4 linked regions of the Astyanax mexicanus genome follow. The protein of the gene in region 1 interacts with the protein of each later gene in a pairwise test. Links are inferred from orthologs where the notes say so. Each region holds a gene or a part of one and is shown in the gene's direction. Other genes may lie near its edges.

The links.
Region 2: the proteins of necab2 (region 1) and nek6 interact in binary tests that used the Homo sapiens proteins (3 or more experiments, as listed by UniProt). The link is inferred for Astyanax mexicanus from reciprocal best matches to the Homo sapiens genes NECAB2 and NEK6.
Region 3: the proteins of necab2 (region 1) and ccdc146 interact in binary tests that used the Homo sapiens proteins (3 or more experiments, as listed by UniProt). The two-hybrid records come from large-scale screens. The link is inferred for Astyanax mexicanus from reciprocal best matches to the Homo sapiens genes NECAB2 and CCDC146.
Region 4: the proteins of necab2 (region 1) and iscu interact in binary tests that used the Homo sapiens proteins (3 or more experiments, as listed by UniProt). The two-hybrid records come from large-scale screens. The link is inferred for Astyanax mexicanus from reciprocal best matches to the Homo sapiens genes NECAB2 and ISCU.

Annotation. Positions count from the first base shown.
Region 1 is NC_064416.1:25,389,400-25,397,140, forward strand, and holds the start of necab2 (N-terminal EF-hand calcium-binding protein 2), read left to right. Parts: upstream 1-4,718; 5' UTR 4,719-4,823; coding exon 4,824-5,156; intron 5,157-7,741. UniProt on the Homo sapiens protein: May act as a signaling scaffold protein that senses intracellular calcium.
Region 2 is NC_064424.1:22,039,661-22,047,189, forward strand, and holds the start of nek6 (serine/threonine-protein kinase Nek6), read left to right. Parts: upstream 1-4,506; 5' UTR 4,507-4,668; intron 4,669-7,529. UniProt on the Homo sapiens protein: Protein kinase which plays an important role in mitotic cell cycle progression. Required for chromosome segregation at metaphase-anaphase transition, robust mitotic spindle formation and cytokinesis.
Region 3 is NC_064409.1:35,913,536-35,920,750, forward strand, and holds the start of ccdc146 (coiled-coil domain-containing protein 146), read left to right. Parts: upstream 1-4,196; 5' UTR 4,197-4,404; intron 4,405-7,104; 5' UTR 7,105-7,107; coding exon 7,108-7,215. UniProt on the Homo sapiens protein: Essential for sperm flagellum biogenesis and male fertility.
Region 4 is NC_064429.1:3,638,710-3,646,519, reverse strand, and holds the start of iscu (iron-sulfur cluster assembly enzyme ISCU, mitochondrial), read left to right. Parts: upstream 1-4,799; 5' UTR 4,800-4,854; coding exon 4,855-4,956; intron 4,957-7,810.

The DNA of each region.
Region 1 (7,741 bases):
TCTTACACACTGCTTTTGGATAACTTTATTCTTCTCCTGGTGCAAAAATCCAGGGAGTTCAGTTTGGTTTGATGGCTTGTGATCATCCATCTTCCTCCTGATTATATTCCAGAGGTTTTCAATTTAGTAAAATTTAAAGAAGCTTATAATTTTTAAGTGGTCTCTTTTTTCCTGTATATGGTTGTATATGTTTGGTTGTAGATGTAAAGAAAAAATTGATTGTATTAGAATGCAATTTTTATTTTATATTTTACCTTTAATTAAATGCTTGACTGTGACCAAAATAAGGTTCCTGAATTGTGTTTTCTACTGAGACTACATGAATGTACAAGAGGCAGTAGGAGCAGAGGAGGCATCTAAATAAAAAAAAAAAAAAGAACATATTGTCAGACGACTTCCACGACTTCTTGTCTCTTGGACACGGCCAAAGGTTCCATAGGTTGGGACTAGACTGGTTATGGACAGCAAGAACAGAGACAGACGGTGTGTGACTTCATTCTTAGCTTAGTATGCCTTTACTCCACTACAAAAAACCTGCAGATGTTTAAAATGTTTTTTTATTATTATTTAGTATCTTTAAGAAGTTGCCCTCCTCTCGCTGATCACTCCTGCAAGATTCTGATCAGGCTACAGCTGCAGTAACCAGTGCAGCCGCCCACCTGCTTAGTGCCTTCTAAGCTCTGTAGGGGCACTGCAGCGCACCACTGCGCACGCTTCTGAGAAGAGATGGGAAACGGCCTGTAACAGCCGCACTGAGACAGCAGGGGTGGCGTCCCAGGCGCCGCCAAAGACAAGAGATTACGGCTTGTCATAATTACCCGAGCTCAGCTTGGGGAGAAAAAGCATTAAAAAGCTTTTGCTTCCGTTTCCCCCGTACATTACAGGGACATATTTTCAGCACTGCGTTGTTGTCGGGCTAAATGCCTCACTATAGGACCACAAACTGTGTGTATGGGGGGGCTTGTTCTGTGCACCAATTAAATGAAGGGGCCTTTTAGCAGGGAGGACTTAATCACCTCTGGCAAAGGGCAGGACTGGGGGAGCCTTTCAACACCCTTTCAACTGGCAAAGGTCATCTGAGGCCTTTATAGAGGCACGAAGGTAATGAGGGTGTCGCAGGAGTGAGAAAGCAAGTGAGAAAGCACCCCTCCTGAAACAGCGGAAGTACCAGGTTTCCTCTGCATGAAGATCTCACAGAGGAAATCTCAGATTTGTTATGACTCAGATTTGACAACAGAATGTCTACTCTCAATTGTATTACACTGCAGAGACTTATTATTATGAAGAGCTTATTGGCAAAAACAAAGCTATTCTTTTAAACATAACTGTTTTTGCAATTTAACTCTTCACATGGTGCATGGAGCCCAGTAGTTCTGAATTTTGGTCCTAAAGTACCACTGCTCTGCATGGTGAGGTGTTTTCCAAAATAAAACACACCCAGATCACCTCAGGAAGGTTTTGCTTTAAGCTTCAATCAAGGAAAAACATTGAGAGCAACTACAGAACAACCCTATATAAAACAACTACAGTCCTCAAAATCCAACCATGTATAGTTTTAACAGTGATCACTAACCCTGGTTCTGAAGATCTTACAACACCTAATCAGAAAATGTTGGAAACTTATAAAAAATGTTTCTCTAAAAATGTGTTTTTATTTACTTTGACACTATGAACCTAGGATATTTATTTTTTTAGCATACATCCATTCCTGCATTCAGACCTGTAGTACTTGGTAATGTTGTAATGTCTTCTCACTTACAAGAAGAGTATTTCTAAATCTAATCTAATCTAAATTTTGTCCTATTTTTCTTGGAAACATGTCTTAAGGTGTGCAACAGTACAGTATTGTTTTCTCATTTTGTGCTTCAAAAGTCTCCACACTTTCTCTGTTAGGGACAGGTGAGGACTGAGACAGGCCAGTCCAGTACCAATGCCCTCTTCCTCAGAAGCATCACCTGGTAGCTTTTCATTGTCTAGTTGAAAAATGCATGAAGGTCCCTGGAAAATGCATGGTCCTTCTTGGCTTTGGTTTGAAGCTCACAGAGTTGACCTGGAATATTGATTTGTCTGATTAAATACGTGTTTCCACAGTGTGATGGTCCATCCCAGATGTTTTTGAACCCAGAGGAGTTGATCCTGCTTCTGAACATGGTTAACATAACATGCTTTGCTGCTAACTAAGTTCTTTTAATGTTTTTCAGTGCTTCTACATTTTGTAGGTGCATTACACATAGTACTTGACCAGCTGCCCTCTTGGAAATAACGCTGCTACAAATGTTAGTGAACAATTCCACAGTAGAACCACTTCTGGTTTAAGTAAGATTAAAAATGTGTTTTTTTTCTGAAACCAAATGTGTGCTTCTATACTCTTTTTAGAACCATTAATAGCATGAGTGGATCGGATGCAGTGTGATGCAAGGGAAGAGGCAGGGTGAGACCACTGGTTTAAATGATTTCCTGCACCCAGCATGCCTGATGCAGCTCATCATCTAATTATCAAGCCCTTCATGGGGTTGGTCAGTAGTGATTGTGGCAGAGAGTATCTGAAACTGTGCAGGTCAGTGGGTCTCCAGGACTGGAGGTGACAACCTCTGTGCTGAAATTTACAAGAGATGTGTTTTTCTTGCTTCTTTATACTATTTTCTATCTTCTTTTGATGTGAAGGTAAATATTACCTAAATTTAACAGCTATTATAAACTAAAAGTAACAAAATAAAGTCTGTCTAACATTTCTAAATATTAAATACATTACAAAAACAAGGCCAACACTCCCAAAAAAGATTAGTACACATTAAAGGGGGAATGACTACACACTGATGATGCCTGATAGGGGCAAATGAACCTAGTATGGTACCAGGAGCCAAAAGAAAAGATGCAAGTTTTATTGCACAAACACAGTTTGCTGTATTTTATTAAAAGAAAAAATATTCTAGATAATAATCTACTCAATGGCTGCTCACCACTGAGGAAGAGTATAATCTGTTAATGCCTGTCCCCGTTCTCCATCACATCTTTTGAAAAATGTTCAAAGCGAGAGTGTCACCTACTACCACCAGCATTTCTTCTATTACTGTCTCTACTTCATGCCATTAAGGTTGTTTCCTGGACCAAAATAACTTCTGACAAGGTTGTGTAATATTGATGCAGCCTGCTAGGGGTCTGCAATGTCTCCAGGATAGACCTTGGTTGAAACTTGTCAGCCTGTGGACTGGTACAGAATGTTGCTGCTTACATTGAATTAGGAGCATGTTCAACCGTGGGTTAGAATACATTCTAAATCACATGTGAAAAATTTTTATTCTGTAAACAAAAAAAAAAGGTGTCATTTTGTATAGGGCAGTGATACACTAAAACCTGATCAGCATGATTTAGTTAGTTATATGTAAATGTGCATTTTACCTTTTTGCTTATCTCTGAGATATCTACTTTTTGTCTACTTCATTTTTTACATATCTGCAGATACAATTTTGTCTCGGCAGATAAGACCATAGGTTCTCCAGAGACAATTACTCCTCCATTATTCAGCTGCCCATTGTTGCATTCCTGCTCACACTGTGGGCTGTGAGGCTAATGTTCAGGTCACGGATGTGTCCCTGGAGACACACTCATTAGACTCTTTGGAAATTTGCTTATACAGCAAATGCAGCGGCACTGGACAAACTTGTTTTCACAAATGATTACAGTGTGTTACTCAAAGTCGAGTTCAGGCTGATTAAATATACTTTTACTGCTGCTGGTACTTGGTATGAATAAAAAGCTACACAAAAGCTTCACATATGGCTTGATGAAATCAGTATCAAATTATAGTTTGGAGATTTTATTACTGCTACAGTAAACAAGTACAGGATCATAAAAAACATATGACCAAAAGAGATCTTGTCAAACAGAACTTTGTGTGTCATTGTCTGTATTTAACAGCTGGTATGGTGAAGCAAACCCTGTAGGTTCCAGTTTACCCAACCGAACACATTTATAATTTATAATCAAGGAATTGATGTATATGAAGAAGAAATTATACAAAGTTGACCAGACAGAACATAAACACTGTCCCTACTTTTTTGTTTTGGGTTAGTAATTCAACTCCAATACAAATCCATTTCATCCACTGGTGGGACACGTTGTTGTGACAGGAGCACCTAACCAGGTACTTCATCATTTTTCACCTATAGGAGAACCTAATACAGCACTGCATCTCATTTTCTCTGCTGGGAAAAAAAGCATCCTTTGGGACGCTGTGCAGCAGATGTGGGAGTGAAGGTGCTTCATAACGGCACTCAAAGATGGGTTCTCATTGAGACACTTGAAAATTTCTTGATCTAGAGAACTTCTTTTTGGGGGCACCCTAGCAGACACTTTTTGGCCACTTTAGCGAACCACTGGGAACACCTAGGGGGGCAGTTGCCCCTCTGGCCCACCCCCTTAAGTCTGCCAGTGTCTGACTTACAGCTTACAGCAGATCAACCGTGTGCTTCAGAGTCTAGCTAGATCCCTGAGAACTATATACATAATCTACTTCATCCAGTTTAACTAAATCAGAATGAAGTTCTGCTCCGCGCAATCGGGTCTGTTTCAGTACCAGTCATGCAGGCAGGCATCCAAGTGTGCAGGCAGGGCAGCGCAGGGCAGGGTTTGCTCCAGCAGCAGCAGCAACAGCACCTGCACTGAGAGAAGCCTCGCTTCAGAGGGGCAGTAAGTGCGCGTGCCTTGGAGAGGTAGGTGTGTGTGCGCGCGCGCGTGTGTATGTGTTTGGGCATGTGCTGATGTCAGAGGGGAGGAGGGACCGGCCCCCATAGCGCGCAGCATGAACGCGCGGAGGCAAAAGGATGTGTGAGCAGGCAGCGCGCAACTGCAGGGACGTCGTCCACAAGCTGCTCCACAAGGAACAAGGCAAACTCCGCGCGCAGGACAGCGGCGAGCAGCCCAGAGGCGGCGGGCCGCGGGACAGCGAGACAGCGACGGCTGCACCGGCCCAAAACAGCGGCGGAGGAGCCCAGCCCGGGGGAATCGACGGGCTCGTCCGCTGGATAGTCACCAAGATGAGCGACAACAAAAGCATCTCGACGCGGGAGTACGCCAAGGAGGAGGAGGAGGTGGCCGTGGCCCAGGAGCAGTTCTTCGCCCCGGAGCCGCGGAAAGGCATCTCCGTCATTCTGGACGTAAGTGTTTGTTTAGCTGCGTGTTTGTGTTCGCGCCTGTGTGTGTGTGTTAGTGTAAAGTGTGTTAGCGTTTGTGTACGCTGATGTTGAAGGGTTGGCTGGTGCTCGCGCTTAAAGTTTAACTTTGTTTCTGGCAGTAAAATGACTTGCGGAGGAGTTAGGAGGAGGTGTTTCAGCGGTTTGGCTGAGTTTAACGTTACTTAGCTAGATTAGCTAATTAACCGGTGTGGTAACGTTAGCTACACGTCTGGAAAAAAAATAAGAGAATCAGTTTAACTGATTTTGCTATTTATAGGTAACATGTTTGTGTAAAATGAACATTGTTGTTTTGTTCTGTAAACTACAGACAATATTTCTCACAAATTCCAAATATTGTCATTTAGAGCATTTATTTGCAGAAAATAAGAAATGTCTGAAATAACAAAAAAGATGCAGAGCTTTCAGACCTCAAATGATTCATACAGTTTTAAGAGTTCAGAAATCAATATTTGGTGGAATAACCCTGGTTCTTAACCACAGTTTTCATGCATCTTGGCATGTTCTCCACCAGTCTTACACACCGCTTTTGGATAACTTTATGCCACTCCTGGTGCAAAAATTCAAGCAGTTCAGATTGGTTTGACGGCTTGTGATTATCAATCTTACTCTTGATTATCTTCCAGAGGTTTTCAGTTTGGTAAAATCAAAGAAACTCATCATTTTCAGGCGGAATCTTATTTTTTCCAAATCTGTATCTAGCTAGTTACTAGCTAACCTAGTTAGCTAACGTTAGGTTGCATAGCACCCTCTCCGTAACGCCGTTGCCTCGCGCTCAAGTCATTTAATTCAGTGGAGCTCAAAAACGAACACAAACGTTGTGCAACTTTCTGAATTGTAACAGCTGCGTTAAACTGCCTTCACACCCCAACCAACGCCTCTTCTAGTGAGCAGGATTCGTATTCTTTAGATTAATACTCTAAAAAAGTGAAAAATCGGATGTAAATCCGCCTGGAGAGTGAGTACATGTGTACAAACCTTAGCCAGCTAACTTACTAGCGACGCCAACACATTCGTTTTAAGTGGTTATGAGGGTTAAGTCTTTAAATTATTAACCCTCTGTGACATTATTAACACTTCAAGCAACAAACCAAGTTTTTGGTTGATACACTGTAGCTTATTTTTATGTATTTCATTTTAATATAATGTCACAATGAATATATACGCTACGCCAAATACAACGAGACGTACAATGGGTCATAATAAGTATAGAAAATGTTTGGCTGTTTATATTTTTACAATATTCATGCTGTAAACTTACTAAAACAGTGTTTTTTCATTTGTTGAACACATGCCTGCATGTTTTGGTTGATTTCTTGCTCTGAAACACCTGATTCAAATCTAAATTGTATACGTTTGATTACCTATATTCACATGGGCTTTCAACATTCCAAACATCATAGTATTCCTTCCAAAAATATAATTTGTCATTGAGCGTTAAATCATTTTAGAACAGCACAGTAACAGAATAATAGTCTCTCTTAAAATTAGGTCTTGTCTTGTTTATCACGTAATTTCTTGTAACAAATCTGTTTTTGACAGAAACATTACTTAAGGAGGGCTAGGTTCGCTAGCTAACCTGTGATATCTAGTTTGCTAGTTAGTTAGTTAACCTAGTTAGGGAGCCTAGCATCCTCTCTGTAACGCCGCTGCTTCGCGCTAAAGCCATTTAATTCAGTGGAGCTCAGAAACGAACACGAATGTTGGGCAAGATTCTAAAAAGTAACAGCTGCGGTACACTCCTTCACACCACAACCAACGTCTCTTCTAGTGGTTAGGCTTCTTATTCTGTAGCTTAATACAAATATTTTACTGAAATATTAAATATTAAATTTATTGTGAGGGTGCGAAGCTCTCTAGTGTTTAAATTAGACTGCGTAACTGAGATCAGCTGGAGCCGAGGGCGAGCGTCTTCTTTTCCCGCCTCTTCTCAGTTAAGCCCCTCCTTTGGCTAAACTCTTGTGCTGTGATTGGTTCATAGTTCATACTCTATCGATTCACTCGTGGATGTGAACTACTAGCGAATCCCAGCGCCTGGCAGAGATACTACCAGCCAATGCTAGCGCAGGAGGCGGGGCTTGCCCAAATACTGGCGGTTTAAAAGAAATACAACGCGCACGGAAGCAGCCGTGTGAAATCTTTTATAATCTCATATCATCAATATTATTAAGATAGTCTTATAGTATGACTAGCCTACATAGTTTATCTCTTAATTAATTAATCGATTTTCCCGTTGTTTACGCCCCCAATGTATTTTCTCTCACGACCATAACACAGCCTATGTGACAAGCACACCCTGCCTAAATAATTGATTAACTTTTCCTAGTGAAGCCCTGCTGTGCTCAGGCGAGGTCTCAGCTGTATTGATTTAGCAGGTCAAAGTGGTGCCTCACTATCTTCTCAGAGCTCCTGATCATTCATTACCCTACCTGTGTCTTCTGGGGGGAAAAAAAGTTAAAACCCTGCCTGCCAGTGGAGCGAAAAGTAGTTCATTTCCAGACCCAGATACAGGAAAAAAAAAGGTAGTAATGTGTTTAACTGGTGCATTA
Region 2 (7,529 bases), on another chromosome or scaffold:
ACCTTTTCACAATATATTAATCACATAACTGCACTGGCCCTGTGGTAATTTGCAGCTCTTTGGCCAAGATCTGAGAACTGGTGGGATTTTTCATGATTGGGATGCCAATCTGCCTCTAACAGAGCCCCAAACCCAACAACCTCCTCTGTCGGCAGGATCAGAACAGGGCAACTGCCATTTCTAAACATGTTTATTAATTATTGATGAGGTCACATTGCCCCTGCTCCTAGATACCTGTGCTGCAGTCTCACTGCTAAACCTGGTGCCCTACAACCGGTTCTTCTCTCACAAACCACTAGAAGCACCCTCCTTGGGTGGCTACACTTATTCAGAAATTTATACTGCAGGCTCACTTTGACTTAACATTCATGGCATGGGCCGCTCTCCAATAGCACTCTGGGACAGCATTGTGATGGAGCAGTCAACATAACTGAAGAGATGCATGCCTCAACTTGGGAGTGGGGAAAAATAATAAATAGTACCCCCTTCAAATGTCAGAGGAGCTCACCGCTTAGTTCCAGTTTATTCCAATTTGAGCTCAAAATTGTCTAGCGGACTAAGGTTCTAGATTGTGCTACCTTTTTCAGTCTGAGAGAGAAAAATTGGCCTTGCTTTATCAGGATGGGTAGATGGCTCTCTTTCCCCACATCACTCCCCAGATAATGTCAGTCAGCACAGGCAACTGTTAGCTAATGTATCAGAGCTGGGTCACTGCGCTTTCCTACCCCCCTTTCTACCCATTGATGCTGCATCAGTTGTAGTTTGAAAGCATTGTAATTGTAAATGTAATTTGATTTCACATGTGCCAGAGGAGTCATTTGCTAGTCTTCACCCTCCAAATGCTGGGGGCACTGTTGTCATAGGAAGAGTCCTAAGGATTGGGTTTGGGTTGTTGGCCTTTCAAACTGGGGACAAAAATTAGTCTATGCCAGGGCTTCCAACAAGTGCTATTATACCTGCACAGCCACAATTTCACTGCCCTTATCACTCACAAGTGGGTCTTCCGGTATAAATGCATGGCTTTCGGGTTGAGCATGGCACAAGCTGCTCTCAAAAAATTATGACTTCCATGCTTGTGGGCCTTCTAGGAATCATAATTTACCTCAATTACTTTCTAGTTAGAGTTTGAGGGGTTTTATTTTCAGCAGAGGTCATCTTTCCCCTTTACTCAAACGCAGAGGTCATTAGCCAGATCCCTGAGCTTACCACACCTTCTGAGGTCACTTACATTTAATGCCCACTTTAAATAAGCTTCTGTAACAAGACAAACCATTGCTCAGTTGTTCTGTTCTGTTGTGGTTCACCAATAAACTGGACTAAGTTCCAAGTTTAGATCTTAGTTCCAAGGTTATGGTATCACTGCTTTTACACCACACTACAATAATTGGTAAATAATAAGTTTGATGCTGAATTATCATGTATGGTACCAAGCAACTGATGTTTATCATTTATAACAGAAGTATTTGTATACATAAACCACTATATGGTCATCACAAAAATAGCAAAACACACGGAAACACAGTTCACATTTATGTGTTGTATGTATGTAAGTTTACTTTTATTGGTATTTTCAAAATGGTGTTACTTCTTGGCCTCTCAATACACTCTAAAAAACAGAGGTACGATATGAGTACTTTTTTGTACTCGAAGGTACATTCTTTATAATTGTACCCTCAAAGGTACAATATTGGTCTTTACAGGGTCAGATTTGTTCCCTCTGAAGTACAAAGTCATTTCTAACAGCAATAAGTACAGATTTGTACCATTTAACCAGCCAAAAGGTACATTCAGTATTCTGCATCACTGTACTAATGAACAGTATATATTTAAATTGCACATTTTTTATTTGAAAGCCAGACAATTTTGTATCATCAAGTTTTTGAGCCATTTTTAGTTGATGACAATGTTTATAATCTTTATAATCTATACTGGCACAAAAACCATGGGTACAAAAAAGGACTTTCACTGAAAGGTACTTTTTTGTACCTCAATATAAGGTACAGCCCCAGCGACAAGCTTTGTACTCTTTTAAGTACAAATCTGTACTTATATTTCTTAGAGTGTACAACAGAGCTGTTGCCATGGCAACAGTCGCTCTGGTGGTGTTGGCTGTTCATAAATTTGTGAACTGAAGGTATTTCCCCATTGGATATGACGCAGACACTGAGCGCGAAAGAGTTCACGTGTGGTGCAACGTGTTGTGTGCGCGTGTGGACACACACACACACACACACAAACACATGCAAACCCACACATACCTATACATATTAAGTTTATTCTAAAATAAATCCACATTTACCTAAAATAAATACATAATCCAAATGTGTCTGTTCAAAATAAGCTAAAAACATAAACCTATACAGATTAAACTACTTAAACTGGTTGATCAGCTTGACCAAGCACATCCCAAAGATCCTCAATGGGGTTCAGGTCTGGACTCTGTGGTGGGAAATCCATGTGTGAAAATTTCTATTATTGTTTTTTTTTTTTTTTTTTTTCACCAAATATTTAAGTGATTTAAGTGACTGAAAACGATCAATCAGGATTTTTTTCAGACCACATTTCTTTCTCCAAAATGATGTTTCCCCACTTGCGATGTACACTTCTCAATCCGATTTTTATATTAGATGACAATGATTTGACACTTTTGAAATAGATTAAAAGGGGAAACCGGTATGAAATGGACTTGAGGTATAGTAAAACATGATACAAGTACGAACTTTTGTTGAATAGCCCACCTTCATTCGTCCCCCAGCATTCTGAAATACAGCACTCAATGCTACGATGATGATACGATGCTCCCAACAGGCTTACAATGCTAGTGATAGGGGCATTGCTTTGCCCATGCAAAGAAATCACTATGTTTACACATTGAAAGTGCACAGGTACTTTTTATGCACAGGTAATAATACTTTTTATACATTGAGGTAGTCCTCCGGGAGCCCCCATTTTGAAATGAAGTCACAATAAGTCAACCAACAAGCACAAACAAATAGGTAGGATATTCCTTCAAACTTCTGTGGAAATCCATAAATATTATAGAGATATTTTCAGCAACAGCTGGAAATTATACATTTCCACAGAATTCATTTTCAGACATCCCAAGTTGCAAAAGTTGATTTCAGGGAGGTTACCCTAAATCGTTCTGAATTCCGGGAGATTATATGTGACTCGCGGGCATCAGGGAGCCACTACCGAAATGCGTGAGACTCCCGCTGCTTCAGGGAGACTTGGTTTGTCTGCATTTTGTAGTCTGTTTCCCTATCTTTTTCGTTTGTGTTTATCAGTTAAGTCTTATCTTGACACAATTGCAACATGGCAGCGTGTGGATAAGTATCTGAAGGTACTGGGGGTATAGAAAGTCTTATTTAACCCTTTCAGATCCTGCATCCATTACAATGGACATTATGTATTTTCTTTATTTTAAAATGTTTTGTTGCACATAACAGTATTAGAGAACTGTTGTCCATCAGTATAGACTATGAACCAGTCTATGAATGAGTTGAGTTTTTAAACCAATGAAATAGTAACTTGGCCCTTCCACTGCACTGGGAGAAGCAGTAGTATTAGAGCCATTGAGGCAAAATAAGAGGTAATTTTTACTAATGTTATGTGACTTGGAACACTTTTTAATCACGTTTTCCCACTGTTTAGGGATAGTTCATGAAATGAAAAGCACAGTATTAAATATAAAATATTACACATAGGTTTTCAATCCAATGTAAATAAAATATACAGCTCTGTAAAAAAAATGAAGAGACCACTTTTCTGAACCAGTTTCTCTAATTTTGTTATTTATAGGCATATGTTTGAGTAAAATGAACATTGTTGTTTTATTCTGTAAACTACAGACAACGCTTCTCCCAAATTTCAAATAAAAATATTGTAATTTAGAGCATTTATTTGCAGAAAATAAAGCAATAGAGCAATTATTTGCATCTTGGCATGTTGGCTCCTCCACCAGTCTTACATACTGCTTTTGGATAACTTTATGCCACTCTCCGTGGCAAGCAGTTCAGCTTGGTTTGATAGATTGTGATCATCCATCTTCCTCTAGATTATATTCCAGAGGTTTTCAATTTGGTAAAATCAAAGAAACTCATAATTTTTAAGTGATCTTTTTTCCAGAGATGTGTATATATTTTTTTTAGTTAATTGGATGTATTTTCTATATAGTAAAATATTAGAGTCTTCTTTTCTGTGCATCACAGACAGAAAACACCATTCATACAGGATGGAAAAAGGGTTAGTAAACTTCCTTTTTAAAACCAGAAGGTGGCGCTCTTTATCAATAGTATAGTTTTGCTCTGCAGTGAAGGAGATAAAAGCGGTGCTGAAAAAATTGGTTATTTTTTTGTTTTGTTTAAACAAAAGAAAAATCTGAAATCTCTCTGAGATCTGAACTGTAGAGGAGGGCCCATAAACACGGCCAGGGCGCATGCGCGCAGCCGCACTGATGCTGAGTGGCAGCGCGAGGCTCCTGCGAAAGTTTGCGGGTGTTTCTCTCTCCGCCCAGAGAGCGAGAATTTCCCTGTACACACACACACACACACACACAAAGAAAAGCGCGAGACCAGGGGAGGAGACAGGGCGCGTGGAGCTGCACGAGGTTCATAGAGCAATACAGGAGCGCGAGATGACTTTCTAATCTACAGCACGAGGAGTGAGGTAGGATAAATAAACACACGCACACTTGCGGAATAACGGTTCGCCTACAATAATAATAATAAACGCAACACGCCTCGCGCTGTAGCGCACACGCGCGCGGGCTGCAGAACTTTAAAGATTACACACAAGTAACTCCACGCTGTACTCGCTTAGTGCGCGTGACTAACTGTATGCTCTTCGTAAGTGCGCGTGGACACAGAGCGCTTTTTTTGTCTTTAGTTCTAGTTCTTTATAGGTTTCTTGTGTATTGTGGGGTGGAGTGTGCGCGCGCGCGGTGCCTGCAGCAGTGGGGTAAACAGGGAAATCACCGCCCAGTCCAGAGCAGACTGCTCGCGCAGCGGTGCAGCGGTCACGAGCGTGAATGAGTGTAGAGCTGAACGGTAGTTCAGTAATAGAACATAATAGAGAAGTAGGGAAATACAGTATTAGAGGAGTAAGGCAGAGTAGACTAATAGGGTAATACAGCAGTAGAGTAGTAGGCATAATAGAGCAGTAGGCTAATACAGTAGTAGAATAGTACAGTAGTAGAGTCATACAGTAGTGGCCATAATAAATTAGTAGAGTAATACAGTATAAAAGGAGTAGGGCATAGTACACTAATAGGGTAATGCAGCAGCATAAGTTCAGTAGTATATGGCATATGAGACTAATAGGGTAATACAGTAGTAGAATATTACGGTAAAAGAGTAGTAGAGTAATGCAGTAATAGAGGAGTAAGGCATATGAGACTAATAGGGTAATACAGTAGTAGAGTAGTAAGGTAAAACAGTAGTAGAGTAAAATAGTTGTAGAGTAGTAGGGTAATACAGTATAAGGGGATTAGGTTATAGTACACTAATGCAGTAATACAGTAGAATTGGGGCATAAATAATAGAGTAATAGGGTATTACAGTAGTAAAATAGTACAGTAGTTCAGTAATATAGTGGTAGGATTTAAAAGAAGAGTAAAGTAATACAGTAATAAAGGAGTAGGGCACATGAGACTAATAAAGTAATACGGTAGTAGAGTAGTGGGCATAATAGAGTAGTAGGGTAGTAGAAGTAGTAGAATAGTAAAGTAGTTCAATAGTATAGTGGTAGGATTTAATAGAGGAGTAATGTAATACCGTATTAGAGGAGCAGGGCATATGAGACTGATAGAGTAATACAGTAGTAGAGTAGTACAGTAGTAAAGTCATACAGTAGTGGGCATGATAAATTACTTTTAATACAGTATAAGAGGAGTAGGGCATAGTAAACTAATAGGGTAATAAAGTAGTAGAGTCATTTAGTATTAGAGTAGTGGGCATAATAGAATAGTAGAGTTATATCGTTGTAGAGTAGTAGGCATAATAGAGTAACAGAATAATACAGTAGTAGAGTCAAACAGTAGTGGGCAGTAAAAGAGTAGTAGAGTAGTACAGTATAAGAGTAATAGGGCATAGTAGACTAATAGGGTAATACAGTAGTAGAGTAGTAGAGTAATATAGTTGTAGAGTAGTTAGCATAATAGAGGAGTAGGCTAATGCAATAGTAGAATATTACAGTAGTTCAGTAGTGGTAGGATTTAATAGTGGAGTAAAGTAATACAGTGATAGGGGAGTAGGGTGTAGGAGACTGATAGGGTAATACAGTAGTAGAGTAGTACAGTAGTAAAGTCATACAGTAGTGGGCATAATAAAAATAGTAGTGTAATGCAGTATAAGGGAAGGAGGGCATAGTAGACCAATAGAGTGATACATTAGTAGAGTTATACAGCAGTAGAGTAGTGGCATTAATAGAGTAGTAGAGTAATACAGTAGTAGAGGAGTAGAGTATAAGCATAGTAGTGCATAATAGATGAGTAGTATGGTAGATATTATATGATAGTGGGGTGATATATTAAGGTTGTAGTATAATACAGTAGCATAGTATTAGGGCATAACAGAGTAGTAAATTAGTAGAGTTGTATGGTATAATGAAATAATACAATGGTAGAGTATTGTAGGGTAGGGTAGAATGTAATAATGCACAGTAAATTAGAGTAGTACCATAGTTCAGAAGTAGGGTAGAATAAAGGAGTAGAGTAGGAGGGCTCAGTAAAGTACAGTAGTAGAGTAGCACAGAAGAATTAAGAAGAATGTTACAGTAGAGTAATACAGTAGTAAAATAGTAGAATATAATAGAGTAGTAAGGTAAATTATACTATAGTAGAGTATGGTAGATTAGTACACACTACACAGTAGTAGAGTAATACAGTAGTGTAATATTGTAGAGTAGAGTGTAGTGGCTTACCATAGTATTAGAAATATATAGTATAGTAGTTTAGTTGGTTTGTGGGATTAGGGGGAAGTTTTTGCTTGGGTCCAGAGTTTAGTGGTTTGCCGGTGTGCAAATATGAAAATACTCAGCATCACCAGAATTCTGATCACCGGCCCTGCCCCCCTTACTTGAAAGCAATTCATTCTCTCTATAAAAGAGCCTCAAGCTTTAGACTTGTTGCGAAGTCTCAGTTTCCATTTATTAAATTTTAAGCACTGAGCATTACTTAAGCCTGTGTTTATTTGTCTTTCTTGCCTTTGCTTGATTATTTGGACTGTGTTAAGCTTGTGAACAAAGATCTGTCTGCACATGTATCCAGCTTAATTTCCTCTTTGTGGTGGCAGTAATAATTTAGAAATGTAAATTCTCTAACAAGAGGCGGGGTTATAGGTAGGATAAGAGGTGGAGTAAGAGTATCTACACATTTTGAGTAATTTAAAGTTGGTTGCTATGTGGTTTGTAGAGAGCTAGAGGGTTGTTGTGGTTTATATGGTATCCCTGTTGATTGCTATGAAGTTGTTAGACAGTTTCCGTGCTGTTTCTGGTGGTTGCTGCGCTGTTGCTAAGTGGTTATCAGTGGC
Region 3 (7,215 bases), on another chromosome or scaffold:
TCGTAACAATATGAGACATTCACAGAAATCTAAATATTTTATGATCTTCTTCAGGGGTTTTAAAAAGGTTTAATATATTTGTGCTTTCTATTCGTTGACAAATGAGAACAAACCTCTGTGACTAAACAAAAACTTCCTTTTTTTTTTTTATTATTCCACCAAAAAACTGAAATGTCTTAGTACATGTAATATTTTAGACATTTATTGTTGTGACATTTTGTGACAAATTGTGTGATCTATCTGTCTACATTTTAAACTAAATATTGCTCTGTTTAGCTATGAATCGTGTCAAGTCTTTATGTATTTTTAAAAACATGTGGCATTACTGTACATATCCTCTACTCTGTGTTTAGGATGGTTTAGGAAGCCAGACAGTCTGGAAAGTCAATCAAGCCTTCTTTTCCAGTGTGCTGAGGACAAGCCCCTTCCATGTCATGACATATCCATATGTGGATTTTTAAAGATAATTTAGTTTAAGTGGCATTTTGGGCTAAATTTGGAGAAACAACTGGTCATATTAGTTGTGCTAAGCTTTTAAATTGTATTTGTTTGACATGTTTATCGCAAAAAGCTAAAATCTTGTACATTTAGCTAATAAGCCTATAATTTGCAATGGATGTTGTATAATGTTGATTACAACTGTATGTTACAGATGCAGCAGATGGAGATTAGGTTAAGAACTGCTGAAGTATTTCTTTAAAGAACTATTTGTGTAGCTCTGAAAGAAAGCTCTTTAGTGGAATCAGTCCAAAAAACCCATGAGACCTATAGCATAGACATTCTACTGTCTAATGTCTCATATATTTGGCTCACATTTGTTATTTATTTGCCAATGTCTCTATTCTCTAAGAACCAATTTTGTTCTATTTATCATGCATTTATGTCTCTCTCACGCTCTCTCTCTTCTCTCTCTCTCTCTAGTTCTGTTTCTCAGCTGTTTTCGGAGTTACCGTAAGCAGGTCACTGCTGGGGGCTGTTCTGGTCAGGCTTCAGAGACAGAATCTCCCACATGCTCGTAAAACTTTGTCTCTGAGAGGGGTACGGTGCCACTTTTCACTGCATGCACTGATTCATAAAACCACAGATGTTTTCTCATCACGGCTCGTGTACCAAACTCATGATGTAATGTGGTACACATTTTTGTTGTTTTTTGCTTTTTTCCTAAAAAACAAAAAGACATTTTCATTAGCTTGATGGAAGTTCCTGGATCAGAGCATACATGTGTAAAACGGCTGACAAAATCCAAACACAATTTCTCATTTTACAATTGTTGCTTTATATTCTACAGCAAGGACACACAGTGTTGCTGATGCAAAGCAGCAAAAAATGATAAGACCACTCAGAGTGCCCCCTAGTGGAGCATGTGCAACCTGTTAAACATGAGCGAGTCAGTGAGAAAGTGAGTGAATTAGAAGCCTACCAAGATAGCAATGAACGTCTGACTGTTGACATCTGTTTCCATTGCTTGTGACATTATTAGCTGAAGCCAAGAAAACATTGTATCCACAAGAAATATGCTGAGGCCTTAAGATAGCAATAAGCATTGCGACGTGTCTTGCGCAGAGAGTTCATAAACTAAAAGTAAGGTCCACTTTAAAATTGGGGTTATCTAACCCCCATGCTTACGGTTTTCTCCATGCCTACAGTACTGTCAACACTAGCTAAAAAGTAATAAACCTTAATGAAAATATTAGCTCTCTGGACTATAAATGATGCTGTTTTTTTCTGTGTTAGTCTGCCGTTAAATCAGCAAGTATCTCAATCAACTTGCATTTCAAATTTGGAACCTGTATAATGCAATATGTGAAACTAAACCAAACCATAGATCAACAATTCTAATCTTTTTTTTAAGACATTTTAAGTTTTTTTTAGGGTCCACATACATCCTGTTCACATAAGATACGAAGCCAGCTAACTGCTAAAGTAACTTGCCATTAAAAAAAAAAGTTCCTGATTTAAGAATGGCTGGAACTTCTGACAGACATTCTCTTGAGTACAAAGTATGCGAAACAGTCATCTTTGCAAAACATATGGCAACTATAAAGTTCTGCTCATAAACATTTGCATGGCATTTTCCTGATGAGCTGAAGAGAGGAACTGATTATGTTCAGGACTGTGGAGACACCAGCAGAGAAGATGAATAGAAGACAGGATGGAATTCATTCATGGATGAGTTCCAAGGTATAGGTCAGGACACATCCTTGAGTAATATGAAGAAACTTATAGTCAGTTTTCTACATGATCTGGCACTAATAAACAGGATAGGAAACAGATATGTGCAAGGGTGAAAGGTCACAGTACATAAAAAGGATATGATCAAGGCAGTTTGGTGAGCTCGCCAAACAAAGCTGCAATAAGGAGGTAACAATTAAATGAAGATATACTTTGGTTTAGGAAATGGAAAATGAGGGACAGGACTTGGAAAAACTAAATTAAAGGGTAGTGTACTAAAATAAAGGGAGGTCTGACTTGTGGCTTGGCTTGTGGAGAGACAGAAGGCTTTGAGATTTGGCAGATGATATTGTTTTGTTACCGATAAGCAGAAGGAGAAAAACAGAAGGGTTTATTGATATGGACAATTCTCTTATCACTGTAGCAGTAAAAACTCATTGGTTTATGATGTTATGCTGGGAGTTATTTTACAAAATGGGCTAGTTCTGGCCCCTAGAGGACACCTTAGGTATAGTCAGGGATGAAACCAGTATATTTCTGTAGTTTACCAGTGAGGAGGAATGTAGGGCTTGCAGGGTGGCAGGAGTGTATTTATACATAACTTTTTACTGGGACCCAGTTAGGCTTCCCCATATGGGCCTTATCATTACAGCCCACCTTAATCAAACATGGGTCCCATCTGGGCCTCATGTGCAGAGTTCATTCTACAAGAGTTCATGTTTAACCCCTCCTCATTTCATCACTGGCCCTGATGGAGCCCATTACTGACATCCATATGTGGGACCAACGTGGAACCCATTTGCTCTTTTCATGCAGCCGCCATTTTTAATTGAAAGTGAGGCTTTGATGGGAGGAAGTAGAAGTAAGTCCACACTCAACAATGGTGTGGACCACATATCTTCAGCTATAACCACGTTTAACCATGAACCATCTAGAAAAAGGGCTGAAGAGGGATGTTTATTAACAAGAGCAGGATACAGCAACTGCATAGAGGGGTACATCACTAATATCGTAAAGTGTTAAGGTTTTAGCCAACATTAGCTAACCTTGCTAATGCTAGCTAGCTGGGGCTAGCCCGACTCTCCAAGTCCGGTGAAAAGTGCTGCTAATGCTGCTAGCCCAACTCTAAAAAGCCTAGTGAACATTATGTAACTACATAAATATATAATTCTGGAAACCTTAGTTCTTTAAACATTTTTCTAAAGCATTAGCAGCAATGTTGACAAGTTATAGCTAGCTAACCTAGGTTTAATTTATAACATGCTAACCTAACTTTAATTTATAACTTATAACTAGCTAACCTAGCTTTAATATATGTTATAACTAGCTAACCTAGCTTTATTTATAAATCATAACTAGCGAACCTAACTTTAATTTATGTTATAACTAGCTAACCTAGCTAGGAAAACGTGGGATAATACAGGCAAACACGGGGTCAAACAGGCAAACAAGAGGGTAATATAGGTAAACACAGGGTAATGCAGACAAACACAGGGCAATACAGGCAAACATGGGATAATACAGGCAAACACGAGGTAAAACAGGCAAACATGTTAGTATATATCTTGCATTCTACCTCATTGCGTGCACATATGTTTTTACTGGTACTGGTTTGTACATATGTTTTACTGTGTTTTACATACCACCTTAAATACCCTGTAGGCTCCCTGTGTGCAGTGTAAAACCCAGCTGGGGTTCATGTTTATCCCCTCCTGGTCCTATTATTGGCACTGATGTGGCCCATCACTGTCATTTGAATCTGTGTACAAACAAGATCTGCATGATCATCCAAAACCAAATGCCAGCGTTCACACTTCTTCTCCCATCTGAAAACTCGATGGAGCAAATATCTCGATGTAGATATTGTGGTGAAATCACATATTTTGTTAGATTTAAGCTTTGACTATATGGATTGTGGTGTTAAGCACATCAGAGTGTCTGTTTTTTCAATCAGTCATTTATCTCTTGCATGTCCTCTGGATCTACTGATGCTCTTCTGGCGGCCTCTAGTGGAGAGAGCTGTATCTACAGTCTCGAGCGGTTGGTATGGAGACAGCGGCAGCCTCCTGATCAACAGAGCTCAAACTGAGATTTAATAGTTTCACTGTTTTAGTGAAGCGCTTTATAACAGCGAGCTTTAAACAGATTTATCTTCCTGTGGAGGTGTGTAGCTTTATTGTGTTTTTTTTTTTTTTTTTTACCGTGAAGCAGAAAACCTATTCTGGAGAGACGGTAAGTCGAAGGCACTTATTTAGCGTAACTAAGAAGCAACAATAAATGTAACGTTAACTGTAACTAACCGAGCTAAGTTAGTTAGCTTAGCTAGGTTAGCTAATCACTAGGTTTGGTTTGTTAGCTAGCTAACTATTACTTGTTAGTTAAATAACATAAACTAGTTCATTAAGCTAGTTAGCTATGTTAATTAGCTGAGTTGCCTGTTAAATGAACTTTACCCACACCGCGTTTTTCAACTCAGTTAACGAGAGTAAACAGCTGGGTTGTGTTGTGGGTTGTTTAAGTGTGTGTGAGTGTGTGAATAAATATGACAAATTCTCTAATAGTTTGTCACTGTTTTCCCTAATTGTCAATTTAAAACAAATAAAGGCCATGCAGGTAGTTACCTACACTTGTAAAAGTAAAGTATATTAAGTATATTTTAAAAATATGCTTAACCTGGAAAAGTACATACTTTTCCAAATTAAAATATGTACTTAAATAAATACCAAATGTACTATTTTTGAACAACTTAAGGTAACTTAAGTTAAATATATTTCAGTTGTAATTAAGGTAACGTTATATTTAAGCACAACGTAAAAGCATTAAATTGTGCTTTTGAGTGCTTTTACTTCTGTGAACTAAAGTAGATTGAAGCAACTTAAGTTTTAACACCTTTTTTAATACACTTGAAGTATATTGTAAGTGTACTACTGTGCGTATTGATGCACATAATGTGTACATCTTAATGCTACTGGAAAAAATACACTAAAGTGCTCTTTAAGCAGTATTCAATGCCATTATATATATATATATATATATATATATATATATATATATATATATATATATATATATATATATATATATATATAATTTTTTTTTTTTTTTACTTATTTACTTATATTTATATATCTATTCCTCCCCCACACCACTGCACCTTGTTTTTGTCTCATGTATGTCTATTTGTGTCCCTGCTGTATTGTACACATAGTGTCTCCCATTTTCCTTTATTATATCTATTATCTGTACTTGCTGTAAAATTGGGAAGGAGAGTAACGTCATTTCAATTCTCTGTATGTCCTGTACATATGCAGTATTGACAATAAAACTACTTGACTTGACTTGATATATATATATATATATATTTTTCAATCAACACATCATTTAAAGCATTGCTTAAAAATACATTTTATGTAAATACAGAGAAAGTATATTTAATATATATTTTTTATAAAGTATTTGAAATTGAAAATGCACTTTTAGTATTTTTTACCCAATTTGAACATACTTTATTGCTCTTAAGTATACTTACTTGCACAAGGGTGCAAGTAGCTAAGCTAAGAGCGTAGGTAAACTAGTTAGTAAGAAAACTATTTTAACTACTTTAATGGAAAGAGACACTTTTGCCTTCTTTAACTGTATTGAAAAAGTATTTAATGGAAAATGTTTATTGGAACGAGTGTCCAATACTTTCAGTATTGGACACTCGTTCCAATAAACATTTTCCATTAAATACTTTTTCAATACATTTAAAGAAGGCAAAATATCAAATGATGCTATGAAATGTGGAACCAGGCAGTAACTAGAATATTTAAATCTGACTGGTAACCTATATATTAAGTAGTTTTTTTTATACTTTTGTAATGATTGCTGTATTTATTTTATAGAATCTTCATAGCTTAAAACATGTGTGCTTATTATCCTTGGTGTGCTATCAACAAATGTTTTAGGTTTGTTTGTTTGTTTAGATTGATTCGTATTATTTTTTTCCTGTACATTTTAGTTACATTGAAACCATTAAAACATTAAACAACAAAAAAAAGAGCTGAGCGCTCCACTAGCTATCAAAATATAGATCAAGATAAGAGAATAAAAAAAACAACAACATATTCTTAGAATAATTTCCTTTTTTCTCAGAGTGGGTTGAATCAGAAACAATAACAAATGCACCTTTTTTCCACTATTTAATGAGACATTGCTGCTGCTGCTGTACCAACAATGTTTACTCTTTTCTTTTTTTGTACTCACAACACTTTACACATGCATATGCACTTTACTCACACAACGTATTTTTTAATTTAATAGTGTTTTTCTTTAATTAGCTTTACTGTTATTTGTACTTCAATGTGTATTTAACTAAGCAAATGATCTGGGGGTTCTGCAGTTGGTCAGGTTTAGGTTCAGCAACAGTATGTGCTGAAAGAATGAGGTCAACTGACTACCTGAATAAACTGAATATAGACCAGGTTATTCCATCAATTTATTTCTTCCCTGATGAACACGGGCATATTCCAAGATGAAATATGCCAGTATTAACGGGGCTGGATTTGTGAAAGAGTGGTTCAGGGAGCATGAGATAATACTCAGACCCTCCCATCATCAATGCAAGATCTTGGTGAAAAATGAATGCAACACTGGATTGAAATAAATCTTGTGACATTGCAGAAGCTTATTGAAACAATGCTACAGCGAATGTGTGTCGCAATCAAAGCTAAAGGCGTTCCAACCAAATTTTTGCCCAGGCAGTGTACTGCAAGGAACTGCAACGTAAGAATTGTATTTATCAGCGTAACTGCTTGTTTCTGCTGTGCATATGACAGTAAAACTCTTGAATCTTGAATGTAGAGAGAATCTATATAAGAGGCAGCCAGCTGTCTATAATCAGTAAGGGTCAGTAAACTGCGAATGACTTTCCCCATGTGCTTGTTTATGCAGATCATGCGTCGACCAGAAGGCGGCAGTGCTGGAGAGGATGAGGGGGCGAGTGAGCCAGAAGTACCTATCCAAGCATTTGCTCCAGAGGCTGATTTACAGGAGGAACCTCAA
Region 4 (7,810 bases), on another chromosome or scaffold:
GCTCGTTTCCCGCCAAGCGGAGGAGAAAAAGAAATTTATTTTTAATTATTTGTTTCTGACAGCAGTTTGTTGAACATTTTAACTTGATATTGCGCTATTCCACCCAATGGCTGCAATTTGCTTGTTGTAACTCTTCCAAATTAAACTTAGTTTTTTTATCCTTTTTCAACTATGAATCTAATAACACATATGTCTAAGCTTGTAAATGGTGGTTACAAAACTCATGTAAGCTTAAAATGCATGTTTAAAAGCAAGTCCACTGTTTCCTTTCATTTCCTCTCAAGAAAGTTTTTATTTTAAAGAAATGGTTGACTGCATGTCTAATAATTGATATTTATGACAAAAAAAATCACTCCTGTTACTTTTTGTGTTTTTAACAACAGGTATAAAATTAAGAAGAATGAGCTTTTAGCATAGAATTTGCAAAAACATGAAAAAAGCATGAGGAAATTGAGCACATTGAGTGATTTTCCCAAAAATTGTATTTTAAAAATAAATAAGATTTAAGAATTAATTTAGATTACAGGACAGAGTGTTGAGAGTGGCCCCCTCAGTCAATAGTTACAATAAGATCAAATACACAAAAAATATTAATTTTTGTCTTCCCATGGTCTTCAGATGAACCAACTGATGTCACTTCATGTTGTAGATGTGAATTGTAGAATGTTCCAGATGTTTCAGATGGGGTAATGTGTTACGGTAACTCAGGCACACAACTAAAATGTGTATTTTAACTTAAATATAATGAATCTATTGTGGAAAAAAAATTAAAGCATATTTATTACATCTCTGAAGGAATTTGGTCAGTGTACAAGACATTATGCTCAATAATAAAATGTATTTTAAAGTAAAGTTTTTCCTGTGCACATTTATACATGTAATTTCCTGGGGAAAGAAATGTCACAGATTTGGCGGAATATGACATATACACTTTATCTTTTTTTGTTGTTTTATATGTTCTATTTACTTTATATATTATTCAGTTTTTTTCATGTATGAATATGTATCTGACAAATATACTTTAAAGGAGTAATGCCAGAATAGACCCATTGTTTGTTTCTACAATTACATGGCATTAGCGTGAAGTCAGGGTCACATGTCAACCATCTAAATGTTTAACCACTTCTGCTCATATATTTAAAGAAACTGTTTGCCAGATTTTTTTTTTCACAATTTTATGTTTTTTAGTTTAGGATACACAAATAGAATGACTGTAAGAACTGTGGGCAGGACGCTTTGCATAACTGTACCCTCATGGATGTTTTTATTTTATTTTTTCCTTTTTATGTCAACCAATTCTGTGCGGTTTCTGATTCTTCCTGTTGAAATAACCAAATAAAAATAAATAAACAGCCCAGGAATTAGGCGCCATACAGACCAGCCAATCAGAAAAGAACAATTTGCATATATCAGTCTTAAAGACCAAGTAGCACAATCTGAGACTTAGTTGTAGAAGATGCAAGGTTGGAAAATGACATGTACAAATACATTTCAACTGTTTTCGCTACACAAACTAACAGATATATACAGCAAAATAGAGAAAAAAAGAAATCAGGAAATTGGCCATAAGTTCACTGATGTTTGGGATTAGTAGTTTTGCCTGCAGGACGACAGAAGAAAAAGTGTTTTTTACTTCATGAACTAATTCTGGCATGGCTGTATTTCTAAAACCACAGTGAAATAGCCATTTTACCATCTCTTGAAAATAAATTCCTCAAATGGAATGGACTTTGAATAGAAATCCATCCAGCAAATTTGAGAAAAGCTGATTAAAATATATACCAGACCTAACTAATAATGATGTGTGAATAAAGCTGTTACATTGTAAATAGTCCTGCAGTTACAGGGCACCATTTGCTTATTCTATTGTATATGTGAAAATCTTTAACAGCAGCAACATTAGCAGAGCATTACTACCTTGTTGTTCAGCCTCGCTGCTCTTTTTCCCCTAAAAAAAATAAACTGGACTGTAAATGAAGTTAAGCAGAGTTTACAGGAGACAAACAAACTATTATGTATTTAGGACGGGTATGTTACTTTCATTTTAAGTATTTTTTTATCATATAAGTAGGTAAACCTGTAAAACTGTTATCAAACATTCCTCCCACATTCTCTATTACCTGGTCTAATTTAAATAGCTAAAAGTGGAAAGTTCCTCAGAACTCAGAATGTATTTTTCAGACCTCTGCTCACACTGGACAGTAAAATCCCATCATTTCACTTTACTTTTCTCACCTGTACCTTCTTTTTTCTTTGGTAAAGCAATCCAATATTAATATATAGTTGCAAGAAAAAGTATGTGAACCCTTTGGGATTACTTGGATCTCTGCATAAATTGGTCATTAAATGTGTTCTGTTCTTCATCTAAATCAGAACAATAGACAAACACAGTCTGCTTAAACCAATACCATACACATAAATATATGTTTGCATGTTTTTTTAACACAACATGTTAACATTCACAGTGAGGGAGGGACAAAGTATGTGAACCCCTAGGCTAATGACTTTTCTAAGAGCTAATTGGAGGCAGGATGTGATGAGATTGGATGTGTTGGTTAAAGATGACCTGTCCTATAAAAACCAATGCCAGTTTAGAGTGTGCTGCTCTTAAGAAGTATTGCTTGATGTGAATCATGCTTCACACAAAAGAGCTCTCAAAAGACCTACGTTCAAGAATTGATGACTTGCATGAAGCTCGAAAGGGTCACTAAATTATCTCTAAAAGCCTTGATGTTTATGTTTCCACGGTAATACAAACGCTCTACAAATGGAAAAAGTTCAGCACTGTTGCTACTCTCTCTAGGCGTGTTTGTCCTGTAAAGATGACTGCAAGAGCACAGCGCAGAATGATCAATGAGGTGAGGAAGAATCTTAGAGTGTCAGCTAAAGACTCTCTGAAATCTCTGGCACATGCTAACATTTCTGTTGACAGATCTACAATAAAGAAAACAGGACACCACAGAGGAAGCCACTGCTGTCCAAAAAAACAATACTGCACGTTTGAAGTTTGCAATTGAGCACCTGGATGTTCTACACAGCAGTACTGGCTAAATAAACTGTGGACAGATGAAACCAAAACTGAGTTGTTTGGAAGGAACACACAGCGCTATGTGTATAAAAATGCACAACACACCATCATCAAAACCTCATCCCAACTGTGAAACATGGTGGAGGGGGTATTATGTTTTGGGGCTGCTTTGCTGCTTCAGGGCCTGGACGGATTGCCGTCATCAACAAAAAAATGAATTCCCAAGTTTTCCAATACATTTTGCAGGAAAACTTAAGATCTATCCTCCAACTGAAGCTCAACAGAGGATGGATGATGCAACAGGACAACGACCCAAAACCGAATTAAATCAACAACTGAACGGCTTCAACAGAAGAAAATCCGCCTTCTGGAGAGTCCTGTCCTCCTGAACCCAATTGAGATGCTGTGGCATCATGGCCTCAAGAGAGCGATTCACACCAGATATCCCAAGAATATTATAGCTGAACTGAAACAGTTTTGTAAAGAGGAATTCCTCCTGACTGCAGGTCTGATCTGCAGCTACAGGAAACGTTTTTTTTAGGTTTTTGCTGCCAAAGGCGGATCAACCATTTATTAAATCCAAAGGTTCACATACTTTTTTCACCCTGCACTGTGAATGTTAACATGTTGTTTTCAATAAAACCATGCAAACATATATTGTTTGTGTAGTATTAGTTTAGGCAGACTGTGTTTGTCTATTGCTGTGACTTAGATAAAGATCACAACACATTTGATAATTAATTAATTTAGAAATCCAAGTGATCTCAAAGGGTTCACATACTTTTTCTTGCAACTGTATACATGGCTGATTAACTTGCCACACACAGGACATATTAGGACTGGGGCATAAGTTGTCTCATCATATCTCTATTATTCTGAAACATTAATTATCTGATAAACATACATACGGTATTAGTCTAGCACCTCACCTTTAATATAAACAAACAGACCCACCAATAGCACCACAGCTAACCCTATTCGCTCTGGTTTGAGGAGTTGACAGTGGTTGCAGTCTGCACCATTAGCTTATCACATTAAAAAAAATGTCAGAAAATAACACTGGGTTATTGTCCTTTTTAACATTGATTGTGTGGGTTTGTATTTTTGGTTTCGAATAAGCATTACCTAGGAGAGACACATTGGAATTTCTGGGTCTCTGAGTCCATCTCTCCTGAAAGTAAGACAAAAACAATTCCAAATCTGGTTTATGGTCTTGAGATCAAGGACAGACTGGAGTACTACAACACTAGTATTTTTTAGTGGCTGAAATTGCTAACAACTAATAATAACCCAGATAAACACTTATTTCTAGCAGTAGGCTGCCTATACTAAGATTGCCACCCGTCCCATTTTTTTTTTTTTTTTGATTCCACAGGCACTTGTTTTCCCCTGTTTTAATTCGGGAAAGGTGGCAACCCTACTCTATATTCTATACTCTGTCCTCTATACTCTACATTCTGTACTCTATACTCTGTACTTAATACTTTATACTCTATTTATATTTATAACTTATACTCTGTACTCTAAACTCTGTACTCTATACTCTACTTTATACTCTATATTATATAATGTATACTCTATACTTTATACTCTGTACTCTGTAATTTATACTCTATAGAATACTTTAATGCTGCTTTTAAAATCGGAGACACATCCTTCATCAACATACTGCCTTCTGAGGGAGCTAGTGTAGGCAGCAATGCATCAAGTCAGCATGTCTGGAATTTGAGATACACCCAGGTCTAACAGCGCCCCCTGCTGTCTGTCCTTCACAGCGGCTGTTATTATCAGTGTCTGTGTGGAGTCGGAGAGTCGGCAGTGGAGACATGGCGCTGTCGTCGGTGGGGAAGTGCTTCTCGTCCTTTGGGCTGTTTGGCAGAACTCTGACGGGCACGGAGGCGAAGGCGGTGTGCTGCTACCACAAGAAGGTCGGTGGCTGTTAAACACTGCGCGCTTTTCTGAGCTGTGAAACTAACCGGGCTGTGTGTGTCTGCGCACTTTAAGCCTGTTAGCTAACAGCGCTGCTGTCTGGGGCGCTAATCCTCCGTTAGCATAGCGAGCTAGTGCTGCTAACACTAGCGAGTTCCGCTCTGTTTTATATTTATTATAAAGCTTAACTGCTCGAGACTTTCAGAAAAACAAGTACAAAGCCCTTCTACAGCAGGATATAACACTACATAATTATTTATCTGTTCACAGCGCGGTGTCCTCGCTTAGATAAGTGACAGTTATTGTTTGACCTGGATAAGTAACGTTAAACCAAGCTAAGTTTGATGCGTAGTCGAATCTTCCGTTCCACCTTAAATCCTACTGCTGATACAGACAGGCACCTTCACGTGCGCCGCCCTGTTATTGCTGGGGAATTTAAGGTGGACTGGGGAAATCCGCTGAGCAGCTGCAGCCTCAGAAGTGAAGCTTCTTGTATTGTAGCTGATTATATAGGTGGGTGGATTACATGTTTATCGAAGTTCTGGTCTTACTTTCCTTTAAATTAAGCATGTTTGTGCGGTTAAGGCACTTATGACGAGCAGTTTCAACCTAAAATGACCCTAGAGATCTAGCTAACTTACTCAACTCAGTATTGACTGGTGAAAACAAGGTCACTGTAATACAGAATAAATGCTATGGTACCTTAGCTAGTAATAATATCAGATCTAAAGCTTTATACAGACATGGTATAATTTTGTCATGTTAATGCTGATCTGCATGCTTTTAACTATAAGTACATTTTTACCTGTAAAAACTAATATAGTTACGTATAGTAAATGTATATTATTTGCATTTTAAAGTATACATTTACTTGTCAAATCTGTAGTTACAGACAGAATTACTTTTGTGTTCGTAGTAACTGTTCAACATTGTAGATATCCAAAAATATGCTATTTGCTATCTAAAACTGTTAGAACTACGTTTTAAAGATATATTGAGTTATGATGAATAGGGAATCTGTTTTTCAAGGTCATTGTCATTGTCTGGTGTATTTTTCTTTAAATTAAGCATTTTTTAACCTAAAATGACATCAGAGTCGAAGTGCGTAGCTACCCAACTCAGTTTTTACTGGTAAAAACATGGTCACTGTGATGCAGAACAACTGCTATGGTACCTTTACTAGTAATAATATCAGATATAGAGCTTTATAAATCTGTAAAGCACATATTTTTTCATGTAATTTTGTCATGTTACCACTGATCTGCTTTAATATTAACTATCTCTAAGTACATTTTTACTAGTGAAAACTATAGTTATTGATACATTTATTTTTGATCTAAAACTATCCAAAAGGCTCATCAGAATTAAATATTAGAGATATCTTGAGGTATGAGTTGGTCATTGTCATTATTAGATGTATTTTTCTTTAAATTAAACATGTTTGTGGGATTTAGGTACTTACAACACGCAGATTTGCCTAAAATGACACCAGAGAGAGAATGCCTAGATACCCAATTCCATGTTTACTGGTGAAAACAAGGACACTGTAATGCAGAATAAATGTTATGACACATTTACTAGTAATACTATCAGATCTAAAGCTTTATACAGACATAGAGCATAATTTTAATGTAATTCTGTCATGTTACCACTGATCTGCATGCATTTTAAAGTACAGTTTACTAGTAAAAACTTTAATTACAGATCTCTGCAATTACATTTGTGTTAGTACACAGTTAAATATTGTAGATATCAAACATTATATTGTTTTCTATCTAAAACTATCAGAAATGCTCATTAGAACTTTATATTAGCGGAATCTTGAATTATTGTAATAGGTAGGTACACTGTTTTCTGAGGTCATTGTCATTATCAGGTGAATTTTGACACCAGTGATGGGTTACAAGTCCTGGCTATCTCAGTGTTTACAGGTAAAACAAGGTCACTGTAATGCAGCTTTTACTGGAGGAAATATTAGTTTAAGTTATCAGCTATGGCACCTTTACTAGTAAAAAGTATCAGATCTAAAGCTTTATAAAGCCATAGAGCACATTTTTAATGTAATTTCGATGTTATCACTGATTTCCATAAAGTTTAACACACTTAACTATAAAAAAAAATAAGATATTTGCACTTTTTTATTTTTAGAAATTGTAGTTCTAGACATCTAGTAAGTAATTCTAGTTCTAGATAAAGTAATTCTTATTGTTACATATTATTTAAAAATATTGTACCGTTATCATGACTAGTCAAAACTCAAACTGTAGATATAATCATATAATTTCGTATGCAATAATCATTATCGCATGTCATATAATTTTAGGGCGATTAGGGTACAACTTTTTTGCTATGTGTAGAATTCACTTCTCATTTAGGAGTGTGCCATAATATATCATATGCAATATTATCGCCAAATAAATGTTAATATTTATTTTGTTGCAATTAGTGTGTTCTTCAAATATAGATGTTGGCCATATCACCCAACCCTACTACTCCTAACTGCATATCTTGAATTATGATTTATAGGAATCAACACTAATTTATTAATATGTGGAACTGGACATTTAACTTGTCAGAATTACAGTGGAGATATCCAAAATTAAAATATCTACTACTAAAAAAGAAAAATTATATCTCAATGGTCAGTAGTAAGGGATTTATAGAATTATGTTAAGGATGTGTGCTTTTGGAATTACATCTATTCAGAATGATTTTATATCACTGTAGACCTGACATTATTACAAGTAATTATTTCTGAATCATATCTGAAATTAGAGTTTCCACTAATGACCTACATCAATACAGAGACCTGCAATTAGAGTTTTTATTAGTAAAATCTTAGTAAGGACTAAA